Nothobranchius furzeri: one gene and its partner. The protein of the gene in region 1 binds, or shares a complex with, the protein of each later gene. Links are inferred from orthologs where the notes say so. Each region holds a gene or a part of one and is shown on either strand. Other genes may lie near its edges.

Region 1 (3,756 bases):
GAATACTCCGCCTCCTCCTTGTTGGGGTGGGAGGAGTTATCTGATTTGCTGCGGCTAAACTCCGCCCCCATTATCGGACCCGTGAACTTGGGCTTCCGGCGGATGCAGGAGGTGCAGCACATTAGTGTCTTAAGGAATGCTCGGCGCATCTCGTTGCTGGTCAGCGTGTAAATGAGCGGGTTCATGGCAGAGTTGAGTACGGCGAGTGCCAGGAACCACTCGGCCTTGTAGAGGACGGGACAGGTCAGAGTCTCACAGGCCACGTCCAGCAGCAGAAGGACGAAGAGCGGCGCCCAGCAGGCAATGAAGCAGCTCAGAACAATGATGACGGTCTTCAGCAGTGCCAGGGACTTCTCTGAGCTCTTGCTGTTGGCACTGGTGCCGCCCCGCCCGTTGGAGACTTTGCGGAAGACAAGCTTGCGACTGCGAGCGCGGACCAGGGCATAGATCCGGGCATACAACACCACGATGGCCATGAGGATGATGCTGAAGACGGTGGTGCAGAACAGGATGTAGGTCTTATGGTAGAGTGGCAGCACGGTGGAGCACTGCACCATGCGGTCGATGCAGTTCCACCCTATCACTGGCAGCCCGCCCAGCGCCGCCGCAATCATCCACACGGTGCTGATGAGTAGGAAAACCCGGCAAGTGTTCCCGTTGTTGTGCAGCTTCATCTTCAGCATGGTGAGGTGGCGCTCGATTGCGATGGCCAGCAGGCTGAAGATGGACGCCGCCAGTGCCACAAACATGCTGCCCTCCCGGAAGAACCACTGCGTTGGCGTCAGCTTGTAGGTGTTGGCGCCGGACAGGAGGATGTTAGCGGTGTAGACGACACCTGCCAGCAAGTCCGACAGCGCCAAGTTCCCGATGAAGTAGTACATGGGCTTGTGGAACTTCTTGGTCCTCCAGATGGTGGTCAGGACCAGGACGTTCTCCAGGATGATGAAGCAACACACAATGATGAAGACCACTGAGTCGGCCTTCAGACCGGAGTCCTGCTGGGTCGTCTTACGGAACTTTCCGGTGTAGTTGTAGTGTTTGGCAATGAGGTCGGAATAACTGGGATCAGCCATGGCCTGCTGCATGAGTCCAGCAGGGGGCGCTGCGTCCTCACAAATCAGTTATTCATGTCAGGTGGTCCTCCTGAGGAGGAGCTGAGAGGGACATGGTCCTGCAGGAACAGGAGAGGAACACTTGAATAAAAGCTTCTCCGTTCAGGAGATTACATCCCTGATTTCAACAAGCTCGCTCTAACCCTAACCCTGTCATCTGTAAACATCTGTGACCAGCTTGACTAAAGTTCATAAAACATATTAATCCAAATAAATAATCATTATCAGAAAAATAACATTTAAATCATGAAGAGTTTGTTTATTTTTGGCGTTTTGGTTCTGAGGCAGTTTTATTCAACAGATAAAAATCTAAAAAACCTTAAACGTAACAAATTCACGTAAAACTTCATGTTTGTTGTTAAATCAAACATCTGTTCAGCTGTTCATCCTAAAAATGATCTAACTAGACGTTATCCGCAAACTAAACGCTGCGGAGTTTAGTGATTATAATCACATTTCAACGAAATATTCTCATAAAACGTCCTTAAATTATTTTGACATGTCTCACTACGATGCTCATGATCATTTTATTATCATAATAAAATATTTATATTTTACTTTATTTATCTGTTTATTTAGGCTGGGGTTCCAAATAACGTGGCTAAATTGAGGGAATTTCTTCTGCTTTGTAAATGTCTGAAACCTGAACATGAAGGCTTAAACTGGACGGATCCCATCATTCTGCTGTTTATTGGTGATTAAATAAAACATTAAAGTTAGACTTGACCTCAGCACAGAGAAAAGTTGTTTAAATCCACCAGAGTTACTGAAGACTCGGTTTTAGTCTTTATTCGACTCAATAACGATCAAATATCATTGAAGAGGAACTGAATTTGAACAGAATCACCCAAACCCACACACGAGTCCCGCCACGATGATTAAATCAGTTCTTTTCGACTTTATTTAGGGTTTTGAACTTTTATCGACTTTATTCCAGTAAAAACTCCGCAGACTGACCTGAGTTCAGCCGAGCGCGGCTCCTCAAGCCGGGAGGACAGAAGGCGGCTCCGCTCCTGGTTCTGGTTCTGGTTCTGGTTCTGGTCCAGTAGATACAGAACAAAACAAACATAAAAAACAGGTCCGACTCCTCTGGTGCAGCTGAAGATCCGCGTGGGTTGCTCCGAAGGTCGACCAGAACAACAAAGACGTTTTTGGTTTTTACAGAGTCCGACTGCAGAGAGGAGAGGACACACGCACACGCACGCGCACGCGCAGGACCGGGAACGACGAGGAGGAGGATGCTGTCCTCCTCGTGTTTGTCTGTTTCACATCAGATGGATGGATGAAGATGGATGGATGGGAAAATAAATGGTTGAATGAATAAATAAATGGATGGATGGATGGATGATGGATTAATGGATGGATGGATGATGGATTAATGGATGGATGGATGATGGATGATGGATTAATGGATGGATGGATGATGGATTAATGGATGGATGGATGGATGGATGGATGGATGATGGATTAATGGATGGATGGGTGGATGGATGTATGATGGATGAATGGATAAATGAATGGATGGATGATGGATTAATGGATGGATGGATGATGGATTAATGGATGGATGGATGGATGGATGGATGGATGGATGATGGATTAATGGATGGATGGGTGGATGGATGTATGATGGATGAATGGATAGATGGATGGATGGATGGGTGGATGGATGTATGATGGATGAATGGATAGATGGATGGATGGATGATGGATGGATGGATGGATGGATGATGGATGAATGGATGGATGGATGATGGATGGATGGATGGATAGATGGATGGATGGATGGATGATGGATGAATGGATGGATGGACGGATGATGGATTAATGGATGGATGGATGGATGTATGATGGATTAATGGATGGATGGATGGATAGATGGATGTATGATGGATTAATGGATGGATGGATGGATAGATGGATGTATGATGGATTAATGGATGGATGGATAGATGGATGGATGGATGGATGGATGGATGATGGATTAATGGATGGATGGATGGATGGATGGATGATGGATTAATGGATGGATGGATGGATAGATGGATGTATGATGGATTAATGGATGGATGGATAGATGGATGGATGGATGGATGATGGATTAATGAATGGATGGGTGGATGGATGTATGATGGATGAATGGATGGATGGATGGATGGATGGATGGATGGATGAATGGATGGATGGATGATGGATGGATGGATGGATAGATGGATGGATGGATGGATGATGGATTAATGGATGGATGGATAGATGGATGGATGGATGGATGATGGATTAATGTATGTATGGATGGATGGATAGATGGATGGATGGATGGATGATGGATTAATGTATGTATGGATGGATGGATAGATGGATGTATGATGGATTAATGGATGGATGGGTGGATGGATAGATGGATGTATGATGGATTAATGGATGGATGGGTGGATGGATGTATGATGGATGAATGGATGGATGGATTAATGGATGGATTAATGGATGGATGGATGATGGATGAATGGATGGATGGATGGATTAATGGATGGATGAATGGATGGATGGATGACCATCAACTACCTCACCAACCAGCCACAGTACATGAGGCTGCACAACTGTACGTCTGAGGTGGTTGTGTGCAGTACTGGAGCTCCACAGGGTA
Region 2 (3,756 bases), on another chromosome or scaffold:
GATGAAACCAGACAGCAGGATGTTACCATAACTGACCATTTCCTTCCCTTTTTTTCTTTCATCAGTGGGGCAGTTGTGTTTTCTGATCCGTCAACGTATGTCGCTGAGGCCAGAGGAGGCGCTCTTCTTCTTCGTCAACAACTCCCTCCCCCCATCCAGCTGCCCTCTCTCCACTGTATACGAGGTAACTGCAGATCTATTTGTGTCGCGTTTAAACCCCGGCGGTCTTATTTATACCTAAAACCAGCCATTAGATATCAATGTAAGTGTTTTAGACGTGATTTATTCTCTTCTGGTCATGTTTTGTTGCAGGAGCATCATGAAGAGGACCTGTTCCTCTACATGACCTACAGTAACGAGAGTGTGTACGGTGCCTGAAGTGGAACAGAAGGCCGATGAAAGACTGAGAAGGAGAGAGAGCCAAGTGAAGCTGGACTAAGAGAAAGTTTTCTGTTATGCTTTGTGACACTTTATAATTTTCTTTCTACGTTTTGATAAGTAACTACAGCTGATGGTGGAAGAACAAGGCAGAAGGTGACGCCGGTCGGGTTTTCACAGTTTTACCGACAGTATTTCAAGCTGAGCGTGATTCTCGGAGCTTTAAACTTTGTGGTGCCAGTTTTGGTTCGTTTTAAACACAGATGAGGTTTTTCTTTAAAGAAAAACCTTATCTGTGTTTAAAAAGAACCAAAAATTGAATTAGAGGACAAACACAGCAAGAATGTACAAAAGATGTTTAAACTTTGTGGTTTTCTTGTTTGGTCAAAAGTCAGGGCTTCAAAGATCGAGTTTAAAAGGGAAGATTTAAAAAATTGAGTTGAAAGAACTCATTCACTTTCTCAGTCGTCTGTATTTAATGCAAATAGTACTTTTTGTTTGTTGGTTTTTGTAAATTACCGCAGATCTTTGTGGGGAATAAAGATTATTGAAGAATGCATTCTCGCCGTCAGTCCCCTTTTTCAACAATCCTGTATAAATAACTAGCCGGCTGTAATTAGCTCCACATTTATGATGCCTCCAAATATTAACATTTAGTTTAATGTGGAATATGTATGATGTGCACACAGAGCAGAGCTTCACCTGGGAGTTAACGATGAAGCAGCAAGAATTAAAACAGGCCTTAACCGCTGAAGCCTCCACATGCCAAATAGGGGAAGGGCAGGAACAGATCTTTAAGGGGAAGTGTTGTCTCTGCTGATCAGAGGCGTTTGTTTTCACTGGACATCAGAAACTTCTCTTTTCTCTGTTCTTTAAAACCCATCTGGACATCTTGGTGCAGCATTTGTGGCACCGGGGGCTGAAAAGGGTTACATAACCTCTTGAGTTGATCAGAGACAATCGGAGCAAATCGAAAGTTGGAGCGACAAAGGGAGAGCTATGGAGATGCAGACCATCCCGTCACAAGGAACGGAAACTGGAGGTGAAGCTTTGCTGGAGGTGAAACCTCAAGGTGAGCTTAAAGGGGTCAGACGAATAAAAGAGGTGTTTGAGAGTTTAACCTTCCAGCACAAACGTACAAAAAAACTAAGTTTTAAACTTTTAGGAAGTTTTTGGAAGAAGACTCCAGATGTTTGTGTATTTATCTTTAGAGGAAGCAGAATCGGCTTACGATACCCTGCAAAGTCCAAGTGAGGACTTCTATTCAGACGCTCTCATCAGCGTTCCTGCTAAAGCAGCAAAAGGTAAGACAGAAAAAGCAGATTACAGCTCATTTATAAGCGTATTGTCTGTGATGAGCAGGAAAATCCCACGAGCAGCGCGTTTTAGCACGTCTGAGTCTGTCGCATCTTCCTTTGACAGAGTTTAAGTTCTTTATTAAGATTTTAGTAGTGATTTATTTATTTTCAATATATTTATTCATTTTCACAGCTCTGGTAATAAGTCCTGTGCTTTTAGACGTTAGTGTTTGTTCCAGTTTGATCTGGTGATTGTTCCTGAATCAAATTATTGTTCACTTGTTTCCACATATTTAAGTTACTGTACAGAGGTTTGGGGAAACACCTATGAATGTGCATCATCGTCATTATCTGTGTTACAAAAAAGGGCTCTAAGGATCATTTATAACACTGGTTACAGAGATCATACAAACTCAGTATTTTTAAAATTACAAACCTTAAAATTTCCAGAGATAGTTCAGTTTAAAACAGCACAGCTAATGTATAAAGTAAACAATAAACCACTTCCAGACAACAAATTAAAACTGTTTCATAAAAGGGAGGGGAGGTTTCGGTTAAGTGGGGAGTTAAAATTCAAACATGCTCGAGTCCGAACATCATTAAAAACTTTCAGTGTCTCTCTCTCTCTGTGTGTGTGTGTGTGTGTGTGTGTGCGTGCGGTGTGAAACTGTGGAACAGAATGAGGCGATGTCCAAACATGATGCTGTTTAAAAAAAAGCTTCAACTCATGATGTTTACCAAATACAAGGAAGAAGGTCCAAACGTGTGTGTCTAAACACAAAATGTTTGTATTTATGAGATGATCTTTGTTGGATAAATTATGAATAGATTATTTTATTATTTTTTAAACGAAAGCTTCATCCGGTTTATTTTACCCTGGCAACAGACAGGCGTTTGACCTTGCCTCTTTCCAGTCCTGGCTTATCAGTAAGAACGCCCTGTGCCAGCGCCTGTTGTCTCCCTAAAGAGAGTCTAAAGGAATGTCAAAGTGTGTGTGTCAGTGTTTAGTGTGTAAACGTGTGTGCGTTTTACCATTTTTGTGTGTCCTCAATAAATGCTTTCTGAGGGTTCTGTCTGAGAGAGCGAATTGCCTACCGACTCGTGTGAATCATTTTATCTCTCTCCACTTTGCAAAGTCTAAATTGTTTATTGGTAAAGATTGGTATGGGTTAATCGATCGGTTTATTAATATGACCCCTGCGTGTTGAACTTTCCCTCAGGTAACCCTGGATGGGAAAATGAAATGACCTAACATTTTGGTGCCGTGACCTAATTTATCCAACAATCTTGATAAACCATGTGCCATTTGTGTGAATATGTTGCAAAGTAATTTGCCAAAAACTACCAGACAACATTAAATAACTATTAGTTATTTGATGTCGAGAAAGGGGCGGGATTAACCCTTTGATGCATGAATTATGAAATCTTCAACCATGATTTTTTTAACAATTTTTTTTCATTCATCTTTAGGTGTGAATGAAACAAATTTCAACATATATTTTTTGTTAAATTTTATAATTTACAAACAATTTATTACATGTCCACCTCGGTGGACAGCGTGCACTCTGAGCATGAAATACGTTGGCTTGGCTTACTGAAGTCCAAATGGAGGGGCTCAAATGCAATAAAGTCTTCAACAGCTGTGCTTAATAGCAAAAACAAATAAATAACAATTTTGAGTACCTGTCCACTGTAGTGACCATTATGCATCAAAGGGTTAAATGTTGTGTGTATTACTATGTGTATGTACGCATGTTCAAAATAAAGACAAAGACGAGACAAATTATGATTTTCAGTTGCTCTGAATGTCTCAAATGAGAATAAACAGCATCAAAAATTAAACAAGGTCTGGATTTCTTGTTGGAACATCTAGTTGCTAACGCTAAAAAACAATCAAAAGACACACACGACAAACATCTTCTTCCGGCTCTTGGAGAGTACAGACGCTTTTTTCTCCTATCCCTCCCTCCTTAGCCCAATTGGCTCTTTGTCTTGTCTGTGCACGGCGCTTTCTGCATTTTTTCTGGAAACTGGGAATTGTTAGAAATGGATCTGGTCAGTTGGTCTCGCAACGCGATTG

Evidence for each region. The genes of interacting proteins can lie anywhere in the genome.
Region 2: the proteins of s1pr1 (region 1) and si:dkey-26c10.5 are in contact, whole or in part, in a cryo-EM structure (PDB 8G94), measured with the Homo sapiens proteins. The link is inferred for Nothobranchius furzeri from reciprocal best matches to the Homo sapiens genes S1PR1 and CD69. Residues at the interface, in NP_001307659.1 of Homo sapiens: Asn157, Leu160, Phe161, Ile164, Ser165, Trp168, Val169, Leu172, Ile173, Gly176, Ile179, Met180, Gly181; in NP_001772.1 of Homo sapiens: Val41, Ala44, Val45, Val48, Val49, Thr52, Ile53, Ile56, Ile59, Ala60, Val63.

Annotation. Positions count from the first base shown.
Region 1 is NC_091748.1:78,298,801-78,302,556, reverse strand, and holds the start of s1pr1 (sphingosine 1-phosphate receptor 1), read right to left. Parts: upstream 2,344-3,756; 5' UTR 2,070-2,343; intron 1,172-2,069; 5' UTR 1,086-1,171; coding exon 1-1,085.
Region 2 is NC_091745.1:73,413,700-73,417,455, reverse strand, and holds the start of si:dkey-26c10.5 (early activation antigen CD69), read left to right. Parts: upstream 1-1,133; 5' UTR 1,134-1,377; coding exon 1,378-1,450; intron 1,451-1,589; coding exon 1,590-1,682; intron 1,683-3,756. Other genes in the region: zgc:92606 (gamma-aminobutyric acid receptor-associated protein-like 1), read left to right, coding at 66-184, 313-378. UniProt on the Homo sapiens protein: Transmembrane protein expressed mainly on T-cells resident in mucosa that plays an essential role in immune cell homeostasis.